Mytilus edulis: one gene and its partners. The main gene of each other region encodes a partner of the protein of the gene in region 3 in a complex. Links are inferred from orthologs where the notes say so. Each region holds a gene or a part of one and is shown on either strand. Other genes may lie near its edges.

Evidence for each region. Proteins that work in one complex are often made in the same cells at the same time.
Region 1: general transcription factor IIH subunit 3-like (region 3) and transcription initiation factor IIB-like share a complex: the UniProt entries of both Homo sapiens proteins name them as parts of the TFIID-containing RNA polymerase II pre-initiation complex. The link is inferred for Mytilus edulis from reciprocal best matches to the Homo sapiens genes GTF2H3 and GTF2B.
Region 2: general transcription factor IIH subunit 3-like (region 3) and transcription initiation factor TFIID subunit 7-like share a complex: the UniProt entries of both Homo sapiens proteins name them as parts of the TFIID-containing RNA polymerase II pre-initiation complex. The link is inferred for Mytilus edulis from reciprocal best matches to the Homo sapiens genes GTF2H3 and TAF7.

The regions. Positions count from the first base shown.
Region 1 is NC_092345.1:2,984,225-2,992,641, forward strand, and holds the start of transcription initiation factor IIB-like, read right to left. Parts: upstream 4,140-8,417; 5' UTR 4,049-4,139; coding exon 4,029-4,048; intron 349-4,028; coding exon 238-348; intron 1-237. UniProt on the Homo sapiens protein: General transcription factor that plays a role in transcription initiation by RNA polymerase II (Pol II). Involved in the pre-initiation complex (PIC) formation and Pol II recruitment at promoter DNA.
Region 2 is NC_092351.1:88,525,230-88,534,044, reverse strand, and holds the start of transcription initiation factor TFIID subunit 7-like, read left to right. Parts: upstream 1-4,676; 5' UTR 4,677-4,748; coding exon 4,749-4,832; intron 4,833-5,477; coding exon 5,478-5,609; intron 5,610-5,963; coding exon 5,964-6,044; intron 6,045-7,401; coding exon 7,402-7,498; intron 7,499-8,815. UniProt on the Homo sapiens protein: The TFIID basal transcription factor complex plays a major role in the initiation of RNA polymerase II (Pol II)-dependent transcription.
Region 3 is NC_092349.1:84,928,506-84,937,773, forward strand, and holds the start of general transcription factor IIH subunit 3-like, read right to left. Parts: upstream 3,764-9,268; 5' UTR 3,637-3,763; coding exon 3,630-3,636; intron 3,567-3,629; coding exon of another isoform or gene 3,482-3,566; exon of another isoform or gene 3,467-3,481; intron 1-3,466. Other genes in the region: translation initiation factor eIF2B subunit alpha-like, read left to right, coding at 3,482-3,566, 6,538-6,639, 7,504-7,649, 8,530-8,646, 9,067-9,179. UniProt on the Homo sapiens protein: Component of the general transcription and DNA repair factor IIH (TFIIH) core complex, which is involved in general and transcription-coupled nucleotide excision repair (NER) of damaged DNA and, when complexed to CAK, in RNA transcription by RNA polymerase II.

The DNA of each region.
Region 1 (8,417 bases), on a different chromosome or scaffold from region 3:
AATGTTTGATCAAAAGTGTGATGGAAAAACAGACAAATTTAACCAGGAGTACCATACTCTGGGGGATGGGTACTCTCAAAGAAAGAGTACAAATGTATGATGGTAATGATTACAACAATAAGTAACTTTATCAATCTCAACCACAAGTAATAATAATTACAACAACGATTAACTTTACCGATCTCTGACAACAAATAATAATGATTACAACAATGAGTAGCCTAAAAGCTGCCTTACCGATCTCCGACAACAAGTCCACATTCAGGACAGATCATGTCTCCAGCATGGTAATCTTCTACTAAGTTAGCATAAGGATGTTCTGGACAGCATATCTGTTTGGTCTTTGGTCTGAAAAATATACCATAAAGCTTAGCATAACTAACAGTCTACTACAACATAGTAATAGTAATTGTGTTACTGTCATTCATTGAAATATATTTATCATGTGGGGATTGTGCAACAGAAATAACCAGATGCTCCGCAGGGCGCAGCTTTATACGACCGCAGAGGTTGAACCCTGAACGGTTGGGGCAAGTATGGACACAACATTCAAGCTGGATTCAGATCTAAATTTGGATTGTGATTAAATAGTTGACACAGCATAGGTTTCTGACACAGAATGAATGTGGTCTAATGAACTTAAAATAATTTTTTTGCCTTTGAGCAATTCACTTTGCTGTTGAAAAAATGTTTGAAGAAATTTTCTTTTTATTTATGAAATCTGAAATAAGAAAAATTTAACCCCCCACCCCCCATTTTTTTTTTCACATCCCCCTTTCCCTTTTTCTAAAACTGATCTCCATTCAAATTTCTAATGGAGTTTGCAACAATAACTACTCATTTAAATACATCATAACATAGTAAATTTAAAATGTAAAATAAAGTGCTTGTTATCACTGAATGGTAAAGATTGTTTTAATTTATCAGTTGGTAGTAAAAGTGAATATACATTGTATATTGTATAAAACAATGATTTAAGTTGATTCAACTACTATTCTGGACAAAGAAAGATAACTCCAATTGAAAATTTCTTGCTATTGCACAATATTGTGCAATTAGATATTTCATGCTATTGCACAATACTGTGCAATTGAAAATATTTGCTATTGCACAATACTGTGCAATTGAAGATTTCTTGCTATTGCGCAATAGTGGCAATTGAAAATTTCTTGCTACTGCACAATACTGTGCAATTGAAGATTTCTTGCTATTGCTGAAGACTGTGCAATTGAAAATTTCTTGCTATTGCACAATACTTTATATAATGATTTTGGATCCTGATTTGAACCAACTTGAAAACTGGGCCCATAATCAAAAATCTAAGTACATGTTTAGATTCAGCATATAAAAAAAGCCCAAGAATTAAATTTTTGTTAAAATCAAACTTAGTTTAATATTGGACCCTTTGGACTTTAATGTAGACCAATTTGAAAACGGGACCAAAAATTAAGAATCTACATACACAGTTAGATTTGGTATATCAAAGAACCCCAATTATTCAATTTTTGATGAAATCAAACAAAGTTTAATTTTGGACCCCGATTTGGACAAACTTGAAAACTGGGCCAATAATCAACAAGAGCTGTCAAAATGACAGTAAACCAGATTCTTTAACATTTATTTGTGTTCTGGCATTTATCAATATTACAAGGACCAAAACTCCTAATAGGAAATTTTAAAAGGTTTCGTTGAACGGTTCATGAGTAAATGCACAGACACAACATTTTTTAAACTTTCAAGAACCGTTACTCCTGAACGGTAAAATCAAAATCGTCATTATTAAACTTGAGCTTCATTTTGTTATCAGTAACAACATATTAAAATTTTAAAAGGTTTGGTTGACTGGTTCATGAGTAAATGCATGGACACGACATTTTTTAAACTTTCAAGAACCGTAACTCCTGAACGCTAAAAGTAAAAATCATCATTATTGAACTTGCCCTATGTTATGTTGTTTACATATATAAACTTTGGATTTACAGATATTTTCAGTCATGGCTCAACCATTTGGGTAAAGGGCAACATTTGGGTAAAGGGCAACATTTTGCATAAAGACACGATTACTGATATATTATCAGAATAAAAGTTAACAAACTTCAAAGAGTAGGATCTTTAGAGGCCATTATATTTGTATTGACTATTTAGTTCTAATTTGAACAATGGTCTGAAAATGTTGCCATTTATGGTCAGATATATTTTCGTACCTCATATGAATTCCTACTAGGCATGCCTACCTCATATGAATTCCTACTAGGCATGCTTTCGTACCTTATATGAATTCCTACTAGGCATGCTTTTTTAATGGAAAGTATGACATCACAATGCCCAGTGTCAGTTTACTGATGTAGAAAAAAAAACCAAAAAAACTTAAGACTTTTAACTTAAAAGGGGGAAAGTTCATTATATCTAAAAAAAACTTTTCTAAAAGAGGTGTCCAATTATTTTTAATAATAAAGAAGATACAAGTCCAGTAATATAACAAAATTCTTGGACTTATTTGAACCATATACCAGTAATGCCAGATAGATTTATAGTTCTTTGGGAAAAGTTTCTTCAAATAATATATAATAATATGTGCTCATTTGTTACTTTGTACAAAAAACACCAACAGGTACCACAACACCAGTAGTGTCACTTCCATGATTGACTTTCTTCAATGGAAGTCACTTGAAACTCGCAGAACATCAATCAAATAACAATGATGTACAAAATCTCACACAAACTCATTGCAGTACATGTAGATCTAAACCTTACCTTATACCACAGCCAGTCAAAAACACCAGATTCAGAATGATTCACCAGTTCCCTTCAATACGAAACATTCAGCACTAGAACAGATTACTTCAAGTACAGCTTTCTTCTATTCACAGTTGAACTGTGGAATTTATTTCCACTAAACGTCATCAGTGTTAAACCCTTGATCAGTTTAAAATACTGATCCAAAGTCAGTATATTTACACGGGTGTCATTCGGTTCAATGAGAGAAATGATCGTGAAAGAATATCTAACAGTGGTCAAGTATTGCGAGACGATCATGAAAGACATTTAATGTTAATTCTAGTTCAGAATCTGTGAAAAAAATCGCTAAATTTTAAAAACATGGAACAAATCGGAACAAAAAAATATATCTGTAATATTTAAAATATCATTTTGGTTGGGCTTTTTTGCGGGGAAAATCGCGAAAGATGTATGGAGCATGTCATTTTTAAGTTCCTAAAAATATGATTTGCTTGACCTGTACTTCCTGCCACAAGATTGATGATTCTAAATGGAATGTACACAAAGCAATGGAGGCCGGAAGTGGGATTTTGTGAAGTTTTAGACATGAAGTCAGGATTGAAACGGTCATTAGAAAATTGGCATTTTTTTAGCAATACATGTACTTACCTTTCGACATGTTTTTTTATTCAAAAGAGTAGAAAAAACGTATTCTGCACTAATTTTCTACGCTTGAAGTAGCATAGTGACGTCAATTAGTAGTTTCCGGAATCCCCGTGAGTTAAGTTCAAACACAAATACCGAATGAACAAACAAGATGACCGATTTTTGACTACGGTAGGATAAATATGTAAATGTGTGGGTTTTTTTGTTTTTTTTTTCGACAAAATTATTTTTGAATTATTGCACTCATGAATTGTTATATTTTATTAAGAGTCTGTTTACGATGCATCGACGTATAGTCATCAATGTGCTGATGGATCGTCTTATGTCATGATGTAGATGTAGAAAAGGTGATTTTAACAAAAAAAATATTTCTATCATAATTTTAAGAAACATTAAAACCCCTCATCACAGGAATAGTCATTACATTGAGGGGTTACCCCTCATTTGAAGGGTTGTTCTGATGATTATCCCCAACCGACTAAATATAAAATAAATTCTTAACGGGCGATGAAAGTGGGGTGATTTACTCAGATAATTTAAACAGGTAACAGGTCTATAGGGGGATGTTTCAATTTTTCTAGGAAAGTCTCTTTTCCACAATTCTGTTATTGGGTAGTTATTGTCGCATACAATGTGTGTCTTACCCTCTGCTTGTTGATGCCATGATTCGAAATGACGATTCGGCTATTTCTGATTTCTGACGGTAAAATTAATTTATATATAGCGGAAATTTTCCCGGATTCCGGGTTTCCCTAATGCCCTGACACTAATACCCTGACATATGTCACGACCAATACACATTGACTTTCGCAATGTCTTTTCCAATATTTATTCTTTTTCGAAATTCCAATGTGATCTACATTACATCTTTGATACATTTCCACAGGTCGATTAGAAAAACAGGAATGCAAATAAAATCGATCAAAAATAAATAGTTTTGTTTTAATTTCAAAGGGATGACTTAACTTAACATTTAGAACCAGAGACATCTTGGTGGCTCATGAATTGCTTTTAGATTTTTACAATATATTATGTGTCTCTGATAAATTTAAAATCAAATATCGAATTTTTTTTATTTGAAAACTTCGATATTTAATAACACACCGAAATGGGCTGATGATAGACTGAATATGAAACTATGACAGCTATATTGTCTTATTAAACGTTCAGTGGTAAATATTTATTGAATTGTCAGGACTGGAACAATTAAAATTTGAATTCACTGATAGGCTCTGCAAAGCAGATTCTTTTTGGTTTTTCAGCTCCATATGTATTTATGCACCAACCATCCATCTTTTCTGTGGGAAAACAGGTTTTTTTTTTCTCGACACAAACACTCATTTTGAAAATATCAAAAACATACAGGAACTAAAATTTCAACAATATTTTTTTCCAATTCAATGTTGAATCCCTTTTCACCCTAAGTTTCAATGAAAACCAACAAATGGATTTATTTTCAACTTTCCTTCTGAAACATTTAAAAAAGAATTAAAAAAATAGAATCTGCAATTTATCTAGAAAATCAATTTCCCCACCACAACAGATGAATGGCAGGCGTCTTATAAAACTTAGTTTCCCAGTGTTCCTGGTAAAAAAGGTCAGCCGAAGCAAGGCATAATTATAAGTATGAGTTGATACCTAAGTATCTTTAACAGGATTAAGTTACTACCTTAAATATCGTTGTCTTCGGAGGTGTTGACACATTAGATATCTTTGTCTGATGGAGGTGTTAAACATTATACATCTTTGTCTGACTGAGGTGTTAACAGCTTAGATATCTGTGCGATGGAGTGTTTACACCTTGAATATTTTAATCTGTCGGAGGTGTTAACACATTAGATATATTTGTAAATCGAGGTGTTTACACCTTAGATATCTCTGTCTGGTTGAGATGATAACGCCTTAGATATCTTTGTCTTCGGAGGTGTAAACACATGAGATATCTTTAAACGATGGAGATGTAACCACCTTAGACTTTGTCTGATTGAGGTGTTAAACCTTATACATATTTGTCTAATTAAGATGTTACCAACTGAGATATCTTTGTAATATGTAGATGTCACCAATTTAGACCAATTTTATCTTTGTACGATGGAGGTGCTTTAACATCTTAGATATCTATGCCTGATGGAGGTGTTAACACCTTCAAGATATTTATCTGATGGAGGTATTAACACCTTATACATCTCCGTCTGACTGAGGTGTAAACACCTTAGAGATATTTGTCTGATGGAGATATTAAAACCTAATGTATTTTTGGCTGATGGACGTGTTACCACCTTATATATCTTTGTCTGACGGAGGTGTTTAAAAAAACCTTATATATCTTTGTCTGATATAGGTGTTACCACCTTAAATAACATTGTCGGGGGGAGGGGTGGGGGGTTAACACCTAACACCTTGAATAATTTTATCTGACGGAGATGTTAACATCTTAAATAACTTTGACTAATGAAGGCGTTTTTTAACACCTTATTTATTGTTGTCTGTTGCAGGTATTAAAACCTTATATATCTGTGGATGTGGATGTGTTACCAACATAGATATCTTTGTCTGATGGAGATGTTAAAATCTTAATTAACTTTGTCTAGTGGGGGTGTAAATATCTTAGATATCTTTGTCTGATGGAGACTTAAAAACCTTAGATATCACTGTCTGATATAGGTGTTACCACCTTAAATAACATTGTCGGGGGGGGGGCAAAGGGGGGGGGGCAAAGGGGGGGGGGGGGGGTTAACACCTAACACCTTGAATAATTTTATCTGACGGAGATGTTAACATCTTAAATAACTTTGACTAATGAAGGCGTTTTTTAACACCTTATTTATTGTTGTCTGTTGCAGGTATTAAAATCTTATATATCTGTGGATGTGGATGTGTTACCAACATAGATATCTTTGTCTGATGGAGATGTTAAAATCTTAATTAACTTTGTCTAGTGGGGGTGTTAATATCTTAGATATCTTTGTCTGATGGAGACTTAAATATCTTAGATATCACTGTCTGATGGAGGTTTTACCACCTTAAATAACTTTGACTGATGTAGATGTTATCACCTACGATATCTTTGTTTGATGGAAGTGTTTCTTAGATTTATATTTCTGTTGGATGTATTACACAATATATCTTTGTCTGATGGAGGTTTTACATAAGAAATCCTTGGTTAGGCGGATGTGTTACACAAGATATTTGTCTGATGGAGGTGAAACATGAGATATCTTTGTCTGATGGAAGTGTTACATAAGATATCTTTGTTCGATAGATGTGTTACAAAAAGAAATGTGTCTGATGAATGTATCACATAGGATATCTTTGTTTGATGGATGTGTTATATAAGATATCTTGGTTTGATTGATGTGATATATAAGATATCTTGATTTGATGATTGTGCCACATAAGATATCTTTGTTTGACGGATGTGTAACATATGATACCTTGGTTTGACTAATGTGTTACATAAGATATTTGTCTGAATGAGGTGCTACATAAGATATCTTTGTCTTGTGGATGTGCTACATATGATACATTTGTTTGATGGATGTGTTAAATAATAAATTTTGGTTTGATAGATGTTTTACATAGGATATCTATGTTTGATTGATGTGTTTCATAAGATATCTGTCTGATTGAGGTGCTTCATAAGACACTTTTGTCTTGTGGATGTGCTACATAAGATATCTTGGTTTGATAGATGTGTTATATATGATATCTTGGTTCGATGGATGTGTTGGATATGATATTTTGGTTTGATAGATGTGTTACATATTAAGATATCTGTCTGATAGAGGTTCTAAATAAGAATTTTTGTCTGATGGATGTGCTACATAAGATATATTTATTTGACATATGTGTTACACGGGATATCTTGCTTTGATAGATATGTTACATAGGATATTTTGGTTTGATGGATGTGTTACATAAGATATTTTGCCTTTGACGGATGCGTTACATAAGATATCTTGGTTTGATGGATATGCTTTTTTTGTTTGATGAATGTGTTACATATGACATTTTGACTTTGACGGATTTGTTAAATAGGATATCTTGGTTTGACGGATGTTTTATAAGATATCTTGGTTTGACGGATGAGTTTCATAAGATATCTTTCTTTGATTGATGTTTTTCTTTGTTTGATGGATGTGTTACATATGATATCTTGGTTTGACGGATGTGTTACAAAGGGTATTTTGGTTTGACGGATGTGTTACATAAATTATCTTGGTTTGACGGAGGTATATCATGATATCTTGGTTTGACGGATGTGATACATAGGGTTTCTGGTTTGACGGATGTTTTACATAAATTATATTTGTTTGATGGAGGTGTTACATATGATATCTCAGTTTGACGGATGTGTTACATATGATATCTTGGTTTGACGGATGTTTTACATAAATTATATTGATTTGATGGAGGTGTTACATGATATCTTGGTTTGACGGATGTGTTGCATTGTGTATCTTTGTTTGATGGAGGTGTTATATGTGATATTTTTGTTTGACGGATGCGTTACATATGATATCTTGGTTTGATAGATGTGTTACATATGATATCTTGGTTTGATGGATGTGTTACATATGATATCTTGGTCTGATGGATGTGTTACATATGATATCTTTATTTGATGAATATGTTACATATATTATCTTGGTTTGGTGGAGATGTTACATGAAATTTTGGTTTGACGGATGTGTTACATTATGTATCTTTGTTTGATGGAGGTGTTATGTATGATATCTTTGTTTGACGGATGTGTTACATATGATATCTTGGTTAGACTAATGTGTTACACAAGATATACTTGTTTGAAGGACGTATTACATCAGATATCTTTCTGATTGAGGTGCTACATAAGATATATTTGTCGTGTGGATGTGCTACATAAGATATCTTTGTTTGATAGATGTGTTAGATAGGATATCTGTCTGACTGAGGTGCTGCATAAGATATTTTTGTCTTGTGGATGTGCTAAATATGAAATCCTGGTTTTATAGATGTGTTACATATGATATCTAGGTTTGATGGATGTGTTA
Region 2 (8,815 bases), on a different chromosome or scaffold from region 3:
TTTCAATTTAAAAAAAAAATGTAAATTCATAAGGGCTCCATCTGTTGCTCGACATTTATGACTGAATTTATTTTATAATTCAAATTTTTATTGACCAGTCATATTTCCATATAAGAGGGTCCGTGGGGGGAGGGTACTAAATAGAGAATAATGGGCCAACAAATAAAGAATGTAGAAAAATAGAAAAATATAACGAGCAGAAAATATAACACAGAGAAAAAATTGTAGAAAAGTATAAAGAAAAGAGAAATACAATGTGGAAAACTAATGAATAAAGAACTTGAATGAAGGATCCCTGTTCATACCCTCAATAGGTGTGTCGAGTATAAAGACAATGCATGAAATTAATAAACAATACAGGGTAAATATTTAGAAAAATATTTCAACAAGTGAGAATATTTTATTACGGATAGCCATACACATATATAATTTGTAACTTTAATAAAATGCGTGAAATCGAGGAACATACGTTCAAGATTTAAATAAAGTAAATTTTTGAATTTTTAAAATAAAAAAAAAGATGATATTCTTATCCGTGGAATGTTACATAAGAGAAACATAACACAATAACATATATAAGTAAGTAATTACTTACCTTGCTATAGTACTGACGCTGGAGACGGTAAATAAATGTAGTTTTCAACTCAATTTCAAATATATTACTTTTTAAAATGAATATAGTAAACACGGTATCTCCACCGGTGACCTCATGTCCAAACAACGCTTAGTTGATCAGTAGATATGGGGATTGTCCATACATGTAAACAATGTACCTGGAATCTACCTGAGTGTTTACTCAACCCAAACGTAGGTATGTTCTGATACGTTTAAAAATAGCCTTCAGATCAGGTGATCACATTTTTGCGTCATATTATCAACGGGGGTTTCTCAAGTTGACAGGTAAACGAGTAAAATGTGAAACTTTGAAAATTAATCAAAACACGAGGTCACAATTAATCACGGAGTAAATAATGCCACGTGTGGACACTAGTATTCATTGAAAGTAGTGAATTTAAACAAACATCTGTTATGAGGAATTCAATGCGACCCCCTTTTCTGTGATCCATTCAATTTGATACAAATGTATCAAATTCTACTGTACTATCCACATCAGTCACTGATAATATATGTATCTCCGTGCCGGATTCAGAAATTTTCACAACTTGTCACAGGGCCAATTAACTGACTCAGACTATGAGGTGGCCTGCTCCAGTCCTGCCTCTGTGATTCTCTAGTATATTATCTGAGACTACTATATAGTATATAGTAGTCTCAGATATAAAATCGGATAGAGATGCTCTCTTTGACTTTGTTTGCCAAAGAATTCCGAATTTTTCTATACTTGATAATCAGCATAAATTTATTTATTTATTAAACTGTGAAGACAATCAGGTCCTTAATGCTGTTGGTAAATTTATTAAAGTGAATATGAGTTAGTAATTGTATTGTAACTGTATGTAAAAAAATGTTTGTATCTATGTATCTATGCAAATCAATATTCTTTTGCCTTATTCATGTATGCTCTGTATGCCCCTTGTGGGCCCTTAATTGGAAATAAAATATGTTCTGTTCTGTTCTGTTCTGATATAATCAACAAAAAAATTCCCACAAAAGGGGGGGGGTCATATCCTCTTAATCCGCCTCTGTTTCTATACTTGTTTGTATTGATATGCTATTGCTATCAATTCTTTATTAACCAAATGTTTTACAACATATAGGTACACATAATCAATATATACTAACTAAATATATAGATTACTAAAATATACGATCATAACAAAACAGACAGAAGTATTAAATACACAAAAAATAAATACATATAAATATAATTCCAAATAGCAAATATTTGTAACAAATGAATTACAAATCATCTTACTGAAAACAGTAATTTCTGAGCTTAAGTGCTCTAAATATATATTTTCCCAAGTTGCACAAGTCTTTTACATTAGTAGTGCTTAATAATTGTAAAAGTTTATAAACAGATGGCTTACGCCAATAATATGGTTTTATCAAACATTCACGAACATTAGAATATAATGGACATGATAAAATAAAATGCATTTCATCCTCAATATCATGTACAGGTTCTAAGGTTTCTATTAACATTGCTACTATACTCAGGGTATTCGTTGTTTTGTGATAATTATGTGCCCTTCACGAATTTCTATTAATTCAAACACAACATAAGTCAAGGATTTGTATAGTCTCACTATGCAAATCGTTGGTTGGTAGAAGCTGTTAATAAAAAAATATTGTCAGCAATACAAAAACATATAAAAGATAGTAAAATTGCTAATATTATAAATCAAATCAAATCAAATATTTTATTGTCATATAAACTTTACAGTTTGTGACCAACATATATTAATACAATAAACACAATAAACATATATACATACATATTAAACATACAAAATATCAACAGCATTAAAATTTATAACAACAAACAAGTTGTTAAGAGTCCCCTGCCCTCAGTTCTAATGACTTTTTCAAGAAGGATCCTAACTTATTTGTTTGTAAAGGCGATGATGGATTTAGTAAATAATGAATTTTTTCTTCTTCATTTAAATTATTAAAGTTATTATTTTCTGTACATATGTGATGAAAAAAGTCATTTCTTAGAGTTTTATTATACTCACAATATAGTAAAAAATGTTTCTCATCCTCTAGTATTTTACATTTATGGCAAAGACGTTCCTCTCTTGGGATTTTAAAATATCTCCCCTTTTCAATCAAGAGGGAGTGATCACTTATTCTAAATTTAGTGATTAATCTCCTTATCTGAAAATTAGATGTATTTAGATAATATTCTAGTTTGTAATCTTTTTTAAGTTTTTTATAGAGAAAAAATTTACTTTTATCATCGATGTTTTGAAATTTATTTTGAATTAAATCTTCATATCTATTTTTCATTTTTAACTTTATATCGTTTTTTATTTTATTTACATCTTTTATGTCCTTACAAGTAGAAAGAATATTAAGGTCAACGTTAGTCTCTTTAACAATATTTTTAGCATATGTATACCATGAGTAAGTTCCTGTCAAATCTAGAGACTGTGCTAGAGAAAAAGCTTCCTTTAACAATGGATTAATATTATTATTATATAGTCTAGCTAAATATAAAAGGGTTTGTGTTTTAATAAAACATTCTATAGGCAATCTTCCTAATTCAACTCTTGCTCCTAAATTGGATGCATTTTTTCTTATCCCTAGAGTAGATTTACAAAATTTAAGATGCATATTTTCTATGGGGGTTTTGTCTATAAAATCAAGTTGATTAATTTCTTTTCCTGAAGTTAAGGCTCTGCTTTTGGCTCGATGAAAAGAAATATATGTATCCAAATATGTTACTTCTGAATTATAGGTCATAATTGGTTTTACTAAAGAATCAAAAAGATTATTTGCTACTTTTATAGGTAGATTATTCAATGATTTAGTATATGATTTTATTGCAAAAAATACTTTTTTTGCTTTTTTTGTCAGCTCTAAAGTACTTTGTGATAAGTTTCCATTACATTTTATCAACATTCCCAAAAATTAATATTCTGTTACACTCAATATCAATTTTATAATTTTATAATTTTATATTTTTTTTTGTTTGTGTTTATGTGCAACAAGGATTTTATAATAAGAAAATTCTCACTACGATTCCTTCAATCTCATTAAAATCTGATGTTCTGATACGCTACCCTCCACTCAAAACATCGGATTTTAATGAGATTGCAATTCCTTGCAAATGCAAAAAAATGCAATTTTCCGAATTTGATAATTTTTAGCGTCTTATTCAGCTGTGTATATATCATGTATATGCCAACACATGGTATGGCAGTTTTGTTGTTATTTATTATGTTCAATCTACTTTTAAGTGTTTTTCTTGTACAGTATTGATGGACCAGTGAAAAATTCAAATGTGTTTTTAATATTAGCATAATTATTCAACAAGTTGTGACACTACCGTTAATTTTGTTACTACCAATGGGTCGATGCCTCTGCTGGTGGACTATTAGTCCCCGATGGTATCACCACCCCAGTAGCCAGTACTTCGGTACTGGCATGAAAATACGGATTTTTTTGTGTTATTAAAATTTACTGTTACAAAATGATAGGAATAATTATAAATTAAGGAATGTATCTCCCTCATGCAAAGCTCTCATTCCTTTCACGGATTTGGCTATACTTTTTGGACCTTTTGGATTATAGCTCTTCATCTTTTATATAAGCTTTGGATTTGAAATATTTTGGCCACGAGCATCACTGAAGAGACATGTATTGTCGAAATGCGCATCTGGTGCAAGAAAATTGGTACCGTTAATTTTGTTTCAGTATGATAAGAGTATCTCAGCTACCCCTTTATTAATCTCATTTTAATTAGACATATCTGCTCATTTTATACTTGTTGTCGCTAAAATAATTCTTGTTGTCGCTTCTTGTCGCTTGTTGACGCTTGTTGTCGCTTCTTGACGCTTGTTGTCGCTAATTAGTGAGACCCCAAGGTTATGCTTTTTTGTTTGTATTTTGTCCAATAATTTCATTGTGTTTTTGTTGTAATATTGTGTAAAACAATATGTATATAAAAGATCATAAAAAGTAAAAGAATGGAACTTTTCTATAAAGATCTATAAATTACAACAAAGCACATCAGACGCTCCGTAAATTTTATGGGATTCGTAAATTGGTTTGTATTTTGTTGGTACAGTGTGACTTCCGCCCTGATTGAGAAGTGAAAAAAACCAATCAACACTGCTAAAATGAGCTCCAAAGCAAAGAAAAAAGAAGGAGCTGGTGAACCACTGCATGACTTAGAACAACAGTTTATTTTACGCCTTCCACCGGTAATTATCAATATTGTGAAGTTGCAAATACCGCTGTGTTTTGTGTATGTTTTGTTTGTCTATGTTTTGTTTGTTAGACAGTCTGACAGTTTGATTTGTTTTCATCTTCATTCTTCCACAGGAGTTTGAAATCCTATCAATAAGAGGGTAAAAATATACCAAAGTCGACTATCACAGTGTAATAGTCGACTTTGGTATGATAGTCGACTTTGGTATATTTTTACCCCCTTATTGATAGGATTTCAAACTCCTGTGATTCTTCCTATAACAATCATTTACCACATTGAAATTTAGAGGTTGACTCAAGAAAACCCTTTCATCAGAGTGGTACATGTAGTTCTTAGCGGGACTTAGAGCTTTGATATCATATGAGACCATGTTTTTCTTGTATTGTAAACATGGTAAAGGGTTTAGCTTTAAATCCTTGAAAAATATAATTCTTATCACATTTAATATATTTTTTTCCGAAATTACAAATTGTGATATTAAATGATTTATAAAAAATCATTAAAGTTTAAAATCCATCTGTAAGATAAATTACGTTTGAGATAACGTCCATGTCAGTGCATGTATAAATCACTGTTAGAAGTCTGAAGCTGCTGATGATGTACAAACCTATATTAGTAAAGACTATTTTAATTTCAGGGATCTGCTATGGCCTTACGGAGAGAGGTCCAATCAGGGTCTATGACACTTAAAGACAGAATAAGTATAGAACTGAACCAGGATCATAGACATGGAGCTGTTAGATATGGAACAGATATATTTCATGCAAAGGTAAAACTTACACATGTTACAAGGGAGATAAATATTACAAAATATTAGTCACACCCTAGATTTCTTGGGTATGTTGGGAGTTTTGTCTTTTAAAAAATGTAATGTATAACTTCTTTTGGTAAATCATTCTGAGCTACAATAATATATAGTGTACTGATAAATATTATACTATTTCAGAAATGCTGTCTGCCTCTTGATACAATGTATTATAATTTCAAAATTTTAAGTGGGAAAGTTTTAGATACAAATGTACTGGAATTCTTATCATGTTAGTCCTACACACAATAGTGAAAACATCATTTAAAAAAATTCAGCATTTACATCATCTAATTGTAATAATTTTGTTTATTTTAGCTGATGGATTTGCCTTGTGTGATAGAATCTTATAAAACCATTGATAACAAAACAGCTTATAAAACAGCAGATTTATGCCAGGTATGGATATTAATTATAAGAGTTAGATATTAGATAGATAATAGATAAATTTTATTTCCAATAGAGGACCCATTATAGGCATAATCAGTACATTGATTTTTTTATATCAAACAATTGCAATAGACAATACACAAAAAAAATAAAAAAGAAATACAACTGAAAAAAACTTGAAATATAAATTGAATTAACAACACATGTAGTCATGTAAACCAGTATATTAAGTGTTTATTGACCATGCACTAACATCACATCCATTATAAAAATAGCTTTTGAGTTGAGTCCTTCCTCGTGGCTGATGCATATGAACAATTGTTTTGTTGTTCATATGCAGGAGTCACCAAGGGTAGGTGCTTAAAGGACACTCAAGCCAATATATGTTTTTCACACTAATCTACATGTATCACTATCCTGTCAACAATGAAGTTGTGAGTTTGATTTCTGCACATGGCTGGTGCACTCATCTTCAATCTTAATTGACTAGGAATTATCAGTTGTCCTATCAAATGCTGATGGTTCTCTCTGGCCTCCTACACCAATAAAAACTGGTCGCTGCAATTTTGACAAAATTGTATATTAATTAATAGTGTTGAAAGAGGCGTTAACACCAATCAACCAATAACATTATGAAGCAGACAGGGTAATCAAAATCTACTTTCTCCTTTTCCCCTGCTTTCTTCTTTATATCAATTCTTTGTACTTGATTTTTCATTTAAAATTCTTGATTCAAGCATCACTGACCAGTATTTTTTAGACAAATGTATGCCTGGGGGTACAAAACTATATGCCTGTTATCTCAGGTGAGTTTTGATTTACCACTAAAAAATCCTGGATAAGGCTCTGTGTATGGGCCCTTGAAATTTAAGTGAGCTTGCACCTTAATCCTGTTTAAATAATTCCTTTTAGTTTCTCCATTTAGGTCATATTTGTTCAGAAAAAAAAGGGGGATATACATCAGAAATCTTAGACATAAAAAGACAGACAAATCAATATCATAGAGAATCAATTGATTGTTGGTTGCTCAACGTCCAGTGGCAATTATTTCATGCATGTTCAGGATGAGAACAAGATAAATATAAAAACAATGGGTAGGTCTTGTCATAATAGAGGCCATTCCGGATGATGGTCGGAGAACTTTGGACTGCCACTTGAAAATGAGGGTATATTGAATAGGGACAGAAATTTTGCCTTGCAACAGGCCACCTACAGATCCCTCAAAGAGTTTTTGCAAGGGTTCTTAACATGCAAAGAGCATGGCAATTCCAAGAGAATCAAGTTAATCAAACAAACACCCTCTTTTATATATATTTTTATGTGATTGTAAGGATTCTTATAGCAAAAAATTATAATTAAATTTCAGATGCTGCTATGTACAAATGATGAAGAACCCATGTCAGATGAAAATGACAGTCTAAAGAAAAAAGATAAAGATAAAAAGTATCAGTATATTCATGGCAGTAAGTACCAGATTATTCATTAAAGGACATGAAAGTGTTAAATCGGTTATATAAATGGTAATGTTAGGAAGAAGACACAGAAAGAAAATAAAAAATGAGCATGCAGTACAAAAATTACTGTATAGCAGGTTATTATACCCCACGCAACGAAGTTGCGCAGGGTATAATGTTTTTGACCCGTCCGTCCGTCCGTCAGTCCGTCCGTCCGTCAGTCCGTCCGTCCGTCCGTCCGTCCGTCCGTCCGTCAGTCCTGTTTCTTGTCATCGCAACTCCTCTCAAACCACACAACAGAATTTCACGAAACCTTTTCAGATAATAAGGACATACTATGTAGTTGTGCATATCGACGGGAAATTGCGATTCAATTTTTTTTCTAGGAGTTACGCCCCTTTGAACTTATTTACTTTAATGTACTACTGCAACAGTTTGTCATCGCAACTCCTCTCAAACCACACAACAGAATTTCACGAAACCTTTTCAGATAATAAGGACATACTATGCAGTTGTGCATATCGACGGGAAATTGCGATTTAATTTTTTTTCTAGGAGTTACGCCCCTTTGAACTTATTTACTTTAATGTACTACTGCAACAGTTTGTCATCGCAACTCCTCTCAAACCACACAACAGAATTTCACGAAACCTTTTCAGATAATAAGGACATACTATGTAGTTGTGCATATCGACGGGAAATTGCGATTCAATTTTTTTTCTAGGAGTTACGCCCCTTTGAACTTATTTACTTTAATGTACTACTGCAACAGTTTGTCATCGCAACTCCTCTCAAACCACAAAACAGAATTTCACGAAACCTTTTCAGATAATAAGGACATACTATGTAGTTGTGCATATCGACGGGAAATTGCGATTCAATTTTTTTTCTAGGAGTTACGCCCCTTTGAACCTATTTACTTTAATGTACTACTGCAACAGTTTGTCATCGCAACTCCTCTCAAACCACACAACAGAATTTCATGAAACGTTGTAGATAATAAGGACATACTATGTATATTGACAGGAAATTATTATTCAATATTTTTTCTTATACAATTTTTTTTTCTTATACTTAATTAATTTCTCCAATGACAATGTGGGGACGTGGGGTATGTGAGCGTGCTCACTAAGGTTCTTTAATTTTCGCAGGTGTAATATTAAACAATTTTCATTGAATAAGGTATACGAAATATTTTGCGGTTGTTATTTTGGCAGATTCTTAACTTTTATCAATACCTTTGTATGTGCATTATTAAATTGGCAGAATTTATTTTGTCGATTATGTTCTATCAGTGAAAATAAGCTAAAATAACTGCTATACTGT
Region 3 (9,268 bases):
CATGACGTCATAACTTAAATAACGTCACAAGTAAAATCCCTAACAACAGAACCAAAATCGGAAACGTTACGGTATTTCCATTTCTTTATTTTAACAAATATTTTTAAAAGTTACAAAAAAAATAATTTAAACAAACTTCGTCCCCATTCACAGGTAATGCCTGCCTCATATTATTTAATAAGATTTAAAATGACTTAACAAACTGAACATGCATTGATGTTTTGGTATCTTTGATATACATTATAAGAAAATGTACCATAAATACTGAAATTCAGCTCGGAAAAGTTCGTACGCGTTATGACCTGAGATTTGATTCTTCAATGCAGGTCATAACCTGCATAATCGTCACAGGTTGACAGGTATGCAATTAATTTTTTTTATTTTAAAAAGTGCTTTTCTACCCTTTTCAACAAGCAATGGGCTGCACAGATTTAGATCTTCAAATGTCTATAAATGTAATATTACAGGAGACTCTAATGTGACGTTCTTCATAAAGTTCTTACTAATTATCTCAGACCTTTGGCTTTGATGAATCCTGCTGTTATCTGTATCTGTATCTGTAGTGGTACATTGTACTACCTGTGACTTTATCTTATTAATGGTGGCCATAAAAAATATGTTCACCATGGTGGCCCTATATGTTCATCATCATACCCCCTGTTGCTTTTTTAATACACAAGGTATTTATCAAAAACTAGTCAAGGATAAAGGGAAATCTTGAATGCATTGAAGTGTTAAAATTATATTACTTACAGGTCAGGTGTCTCAGGTAAAATATACATGTATGTGTTTGTCAAATTTAATGACTGTTATTATGACAAGAAATTCAAAAATAAAATGAAACAATAAAACTTGTTGAACAAACAGCTTAATTAAAAAATAATTGTCTCCTGACTATTAGTTTTGATATTATACCTTTTAAATAATTTTTGATCAGTTTAAGTTATTTTTTATATTAAGTCTATTTTTTGGTAGTAAAGAATAAATGAATCTCATTTTCAAATATACTGCAAATATTTACAATGCCTGCCTTTTTCTATTGACAAGGTGTTTCTCAAATTAATTTTCTAAAATCAAAATGGTTTATTATTGTAGATAGACTGATCTTAACATATGATTAAGATTGTCTTTAGGACTTAAGCTAAATAAAATTTAGGCAATTCATTATTTCTTTATTGAATAAAATATTTTTTATAAGTATTAGAAATATTCAGTACAGCAAAATTTGATAATATTTTTATTGTCATATGATATTTTAAACATGATCCATGTTTTAGAGGTTAAGCATTTCTTTTACTTTTTGTTCTTGGGTTAGAGACATTATAATGAGAAGGTAAATAATTTTCAAATGGATTTATATCTCAAAGTTGTTTTGTTAATTTTACAATCAAGGAATAGGTGTTCTTCATTGACCTACAAGAGGCACAGTTTACACATTCTATCCTTTCTAGGAATTTTATATTGCCCACTATTTTCTATTTCTAAATTATGACCAAAACTTCTCTACCTTAATTGACACAATCAAGTTTACAGTTTTTATCATAAGTTATTATTTTTAGATTTTTCTTTAAATTCATTTTTTATTAAGGACTTTAAAAGTCTTAATTCATTAAAGTCCCTGCAATTATTAACTTTATCTAAAAGTATACCAAGAATATGTATCATGCCAGTCCAGCACTATCGACAATATAATACACTGAAAAAAAATGATTTAATTAATAAACCATTAAAGTGTCACCATCTTTAGAAGTGCACTTTATTTTTTCTGGAGACAAATTTTGAAAGAAATTAACCAAACTGAAGATAACATACTTAAGTTAATAAGTTTCAAGACAATTTCTTTAAATAATTTCTTTTCATAAGATTCACTTGATTCAGATATATAAGAACATTTTTCATTATGATTAGCATTTTTAATGAACATTTATCAAAATTTGATGATAACTAGGTGGACATTTAGAAAATAAGTCTTTTCGGTGATTGTTTGTGCACAACTCTTGTTTTGAGATTTGAAGAAAATTTAAATAAACAAAATTAGTTTTTTCCTAAACCATATAATGGTACTTGTAGTTTTCCTGAATAATGTTAGATGTTATCAAAATCTATTGTAAAAGGATTGATATTGATCATCTTATTTTGTTAAGAAACCAAATTGTTTAATTACTTTCATTTTTTTTATTTAAAATATCACTTGCATGATTATTAGTTATTATTAATAGTAATAACTCATTTAATAATGTTAACAAACAATTGAATACAATGTACATCATGTGTATTTATATAAACCTTTTACTTAAAAAACAATTATTAAAAGTCTGTTTATTTCAAATGCTAGTCAATAACTTTAGCTTTGACTTTTTGCCATTTCGACTCAAGATTCTTACCAAGAAGAAATTAAAAGAATAAGAAACAAAACAGTAAGAAACAAAACAAACAAAAATGAAAAAAAAAACAATTAAAAAATTAAAAAATTAAATAGCATTAAAGACAAAAAAATAATAATAAATTAACAGAGTAAAACAATATTTTATTCTACATTTTCAAAAAAAGGTGAAATGTCAATTTTGATAGAAACCCAAGTCACCTGTACAGGTAAAATTTAATGAAACATACCAGCTGAAAACTTCAACCCTGATTGATTTTAACAGGTAACATAATTAGATAAAAAATCTGCCCATGATTTATGACCCCCAATAAATGGCCAACATCTCAAGATTGAATACCCCAATAAATGTTCACCATTGGATGTTGACCATGCAAGAGGGTGGACATAACTAAGAGGAAGTCACAGGCTGTACTGTACGTGTAGAATCCTGTTTAGGCTTTTATACACGGTATGTTTGGTTTTTTTTATGTTTTATTTTTTTGCAGTTATTTTTATTTTTTATTTAGCCATTTATTTCTTTTGCTTATGCATTACCTTTGCTGTAGCTGCATGCAGTCTTTTGTTTGTGCTTAAAGTGTTTAAGTTTGCATGTGCTACTGTTATATAAATACTATGTGCTACTGTATATGTGCTGATATTAGACATTTGTTCTAATCTATCTTGCTTAGCTTTTATTCTGCATGTGCTATCTATGTATTAATATATATATGTGATGTCTGTATGTTTGTGTTGTATGTGTATCTGATGTTATAACATGTATGTTTTGTTTATTAATATCAGTCGGTTAAAGAGCTCTTAAGAGCTCATGTTCTTTGTTATTATGTATATATATGCAACCCGACTTTAAATAAAGATTACTTTACTTTACTTTTACTTTACTATAAATTTTATCCAATTAATTTGAAACTTACAGTAGCTGAAAATTACATAATAAATCAATTTTATATATTCATATTTTAGTATGGGAAAAATGATGGGTGTGGAGTTAATCTGTTACTGCATTTAAAAATGACACAACAAAAGAGAAGACATAGTTGTAAAACTTTAATAGTTCATTGTCACATATTTCAAAATATGGATAAGGTCTAATAGAACATGGCTTTGTCCTTTGGCCTTTGTTTAGTAAACAGGGGGACTCATTGGAAATATGTACTAATTCGTATTTCGTCTCTTTTCACAGGTAACATCTTTTTCATGTTAATAAAACAAGGTGTTTTATGTGTGATGACAATGAGACAATTACCTGCCATTTCAAATACACTTGGACAAAGATAATTTTTTCACATGTTGTTTCAGGAGAACATACGTAAGGGGGAAAGAAATCAATGATATGTTTCCATTTGATGAAAGATTCCAAGACACTAACATAACGATAATTTTGATTTGGTAAAATTAAAATGAAAGTAGAAAATTGACCAATGAAAGGAGGGTTTGGTACCGATGAAATTGAGCTTTCGGAAAATTTCTAGACGCATCTTCTGAAGATCAAAAAAATTATAAGTACCGAACAGATCATTGCAACAGAAAAAGATGGAAAAACAAGGTTGTGACTAAACCCTCTTTTTAATGATATAGAATCTAAAAGTATCAATTGTGCTAATCCCATTATAGTTAAAGTATCAGAGGCGATATTTTCCTACTCAATTTTACCATATTCGATGTACATATGGTAATGAAAATTATATGACAGGTGCTTTGTTGTTGTTTATATATTTTTAATTCATTTCTAATTGACAGTGTCTGCGCGTACCCACATGTGGGTACGAATAGTCAAATTGACATTCGTAGGCTACGGGTACCCACATCCGGTTTTATAATAAAATGCAATCAAATCGGGAATTAAACGTGAAATATATACATTAATTATCGATAATATGGGGATTTCGAGTAGAACGAGTGAAGGGTATGACAAATAATATTTTCGAATTGTATTTATAAGTTAATAATATCAGAGACGTCTCTGATAATATATAATAAACCTTGCAAATTAAATGCACATGTACTGATTGAAAATGAAATATACAGTCCCTGTAAACTATAGTCCTATAATCTGATAATATATAATTTCCGAATTTTAAGTTGCTTCCACGCCTCAGAGGCAAAATATTTTTTGATGCGCTGAAGGTTTAAATTACATTTTTGTCAAACATTTTGTTTACTATTAACGAAGCTTTCATAGAAGATTATTGGCATATGATCGGCCTTTGTTTTTCAGAAATAATGTATAGGCCTTCATTTTTCCTGTCGAACTTGTTTAGAATTTTTTGCCTCCGTGAATGACAGGAAAAAAATATTCTGTAAAACTTGATTTCCTCTTTATTTTTTGTTTTTCCAGTTCATCTTTTCTCTGCAGCTGCAATTGACTCCGAGTTTGTTTTTATATACAATTGTATAAAATCAATCGACTGATACTTTTGAACACATTGTTCCAATTCATGATAACTTTGAAATGTCTGCCCCACTTGTATATCACTCTTTTCCCATTTTAAGAATATTTATTAACCGGGAAAAACTGTTGATCACTTACATATATATAAATGTTTACAAAACTTCTTAAGTAGTTGATCAATTTTATTCACTAATTGCGATAATTTCTGTATATATTTTACGTTTAATTCCCGATCCGATGGCAATTTATTATAAATCCGGATGTGGGTACGCGTAGCCTACGAACGGCAATTTTGCTATTCGTACCCGCATGCGGGTACGAACAGACACTGCCTTTCTAATTATTTTGGTTTTCCCTTGCCAGAGATGGTCACAATTTGATGTGTACCGGACAGGCAGGCACAGGGAAACCTTATTTGATGAGAAATGAATTAAAATATATTAAAACCACAGAACACAAGTAACTCTGACAATCTGTTATAATACGTGTATGTCAAGAGCTCGAGACTGCATATGTTTGCATAGATTATGGGTGTTTATAGTGGTTATATGTTGTTCCAAGTGGATTCCAGGCTTTTCCAGCCTAGTTGATCTGGCCCATATGTAAAGTCAATGTAGCTGCTATATATATCTGAAATCTTTATCTATGAAATGAAAAATATCTACCAGGGATAAAAGTGATATTGTTTGATAATTACGGATTTCATAATTAAAAAGGTTTTTCACCTGTTGTCGTTTATCTCTAGTACTGTTTCCTAAAAATATTCTTCCGGTAATAACCAAAATTTTCAGTAATTATCATCTGATCATGATTATTCATCATATTATTATGAGGTCAGATTGACCTATGGTCAGATTGATTTTTGTCTGGTAGACTTAGACTTCTGAAGAAGGGATATAATTACGATACTGTTGTCAACTCATTAAAGATTGCATATTTTGGCGTTAATATTCAGTCACTGATAAGGTCTTTGCATCGGAACTAAACACATATATTCTAAAAACAGTTGTTGGCATGACACGGGTTATGTTCTTCTCATATATGTTATGAACTTATGATGGTATGATACTAAACCCCTAACGGGAAGGATTGTGCCTGATGTTCATATGATGAAATCATAATCTTTCAGTCAGTTTAATTGAAGTCTGGAGCTGGCATGTCAGTTAACTGCTAGTAGTCTGTTGTTATTTATGTATTATTGTCATTTTGTTTATTTTCTTTGGTTACATCTTCTGACATCAGACTCGGACTTCTCTTGAACTGAATTTTAATGTGCGTATTGTTATGCGTTTACTTTTCTACATTGGTTAGAGGTATAGGGGGAGGGTTGAGATCTCACAAACATGTTTAACCCCGCCGCATTTTTGCGCCTGTCCCAAGTCAGGAGCCTCTGGCCTTTGTTAGTCTTGTATTATTTTAATTTTAGTTTCTTGTGTACAATTTGGAAATTAGTATGGCGTTCATTATCACTGAACTAGTATATATTTGTTTAGGGGCCAGCTGAGGGACGCCTCCGGGTGCGGGAATTTCTCGCTACATTGAAGACCTGTTGGTGACCCTCTGCTGTTGTTTTTTATTTGGTCGGGTTGTTGTCTCTTTGACACATTCCCCATTTCCATTCTCAATTTTATTAGAGGCAGTAATGACTATTATAATTCTTTTTTGGAAGTTGGAAGTGGACTATATTGACATAATTTACCAACCTAAGTAACACTATATAAGATTTATCTGTATTTTTAACTGTTTACCTGTTATATTACAGATATACTGACATATTTCACCAATCTTACTAATAATGAACCAGATTTGGCAGCAGCTGTAGCAGCAATCAAAACATTAATTCACCTCCTGGAAATCAGTAAAGGTAAGTTTTAATCATATCTTGTTAAAAGAACATAAATGACTCTGAGAAAATGAACTGCAATACAAGAGCTGTTCTTTTGCTTTTGTGTGTGTGTTTTTAGTCCCCATTCCCCTACCAACGAAGTAGAAGGAGAATTTAGGTTTGCACTCTAGTGGGGGAGGGGAAAAGTTTATTAGACCACATTCATATTTGGGGGGGGGGGGGGGGGGGGGGGGACTGACTGCCTAAGAGGGGATCCACTCCAGTCATGCTTGAGTGATTCTCTATATAATCAACCATTTTTTTCCCACAAAAGAGGGAGCCTAGGCTCCCTGAAAAACCCTCTTTTGATTGATTGACAATGGATATCTATCCACCAAAGTTTCATACTTACATGTAATTAAAGAAATCACTAGACTTCCTCTATGTCAATTAAAAGTGTGTTCAGATCTGATGAAGCATGGACATACCATAATTATATAAAGGTAATGTGTGTTACATTAGTATCACAAGAACTGAACATGAATAAGAATTTACAAACAGACATTATTCAATTATGGAAAATTAATAGCCAATTATATATTTTTTTAAAACTTTTATGGATTCAAATTTATGCTCAGGATATGAAGATGATATTAAATGCAGATCACTAAGATTTTGAAAATTGCTCTGAAATTTGTTCAGTTCTCATTCCAGAATAAATATGTCCATGTATGAGTATGGCAGAGAAACTTCAATGTGTGAAATATAATTTTGAAAAAAGTGTATCTTTAAAGCATTTTACTTCAAATTGATCTATTCAATTAAATAAAACAAGAACACTGACTCATTGTTTTACTGTAATAAAATTACACATTTGCATTATCTTCTTGTTTTCTTTTGCAGTTGAAACTGTGCAGGAAATGAGAGAAAGTTTGAAGGAAGCTATAAATATATTAACTGAGACCGACAGTAGTACAACATCTATATCATCAGCTGGAGAACTCTTCCTAAGATTTATATCACTCAAACTTACTTCACTAGAATACTCAGTATGTAACTATACACAGTTTCTCATCTTTTTAAGAAAAAAATACAAAAAGTTATGCCCATGTAAAATTAGAAAATGAGCAAAATTGATGAGTACACAGTTATCGTTTCTTGATTTTCGTTGTCCACAAATATAGTCCCTAGTGTGGACAGTGTGTTACTTGCCAATCTTTGGTATACCCCTTCCAAATTTATTTCTTCATGTTTTATGCCTCAAATAGCAAGTAGGGGGATAAAATTACACTGGGAAAAAATTTGATTCATGAATTTTAAAGTAAAGTAGTGATTTGGTCCAACTGAAAAAGGTTAAAAATAAGCATTTCGGAAGCTGTCAAAAGATTTCAAGACCCCCTGAACATAAAATTGTCCATATTTTGAGTTAGAGCTGATGAAGTTTTCTATAATTTTGATATAATTTGTCTCAAAAGTAGTACACCACACTAAAAATAGTATAGAGAAAGTGCAGGTGGGATTTTTATTATTTCCATTTATTGTCTAAAAGAAATGCACTACCAAATAACTGTATACTAGGACTTCTTCAAAGGTGATGTGTGGTTTTTTTTAATAATTAAACAGAAGCTTTGCCATTATATTTTTTTTTCTCAATTAATTGGATATTTAATTAAAAAAAAAATTGAAAATATTTTTTCTATAAGAGTAAGAAGATGTGGTAGGATTGTTAAAGAGACAACTCTCTTTCTTTTTCTTAATGTATTAAGAAATGACCCAAGTTTGATTTTTTTTTTTGTGTTGAAATACATATATGCATATATTCACAATATATTTGTATTTTTTTAGTCACAAAATAAATCTCTGACAAAAATCAGTTAGTTAATTGTACTTTGTTTTTGTTTATTCTCAATTTATATGATTTTATTCCAGAATATTCAAGAATTAAAGAAGCTGTTGGTTGAAAGAGGAAATTTGTTCTTGGATAAAGTAGCAGGGTCAAGACAAAAGATTGGCAAAGTGACACATCCATTCATCAGAGATGGAACTGTAGGTTTCAATTTATGTAACCTCCCTAAAATATTTTTTCTTCCATTAAAGGTTTCTGTCTCCTCTGACTGAAAAAATTAAATTGAGAATGGAAACAGGAAATGTGTCGAAAAGACAACAACCTGACTATGAAGCAGAAAATAGCCAAAGGCCACCAATAGGTCCTTAACACAGCTAGAAAATTCATTACTTTATTAGGGGTTAATTTTTAACCAATAAGACATACAACAAATTGCAGAAAAGTCGTATCAGTTATTATAACCAAAAACATGAATGTAAAATTTCAGGGGGGGGATATTTAAAAATCAATTTTCAGCTAAAGGTAGTTTTAAATGGAACAAGTTTAAACTTTCCAAGTACCATCATCGTTTCATTTGCTTAGAATTTCTCATTATTGTATAACATTAGTTTCAATTGTAGACAATTTTAACGAATTCCAAGTCGAGGGTTGTATTACAAGTACTGAAGGAGGCTGCAGAAGCCAAGAAAAGATTTAATGTATTTGTAGCTGAATCACAGCCTAACAAGTCTGGGTATCTATAATTTATCTTGTTCCATGTCAGGACTGTTCATAATATAAACACATTTTTTTTTTTGGGGGGGGGGTGCACTCAAAATAATA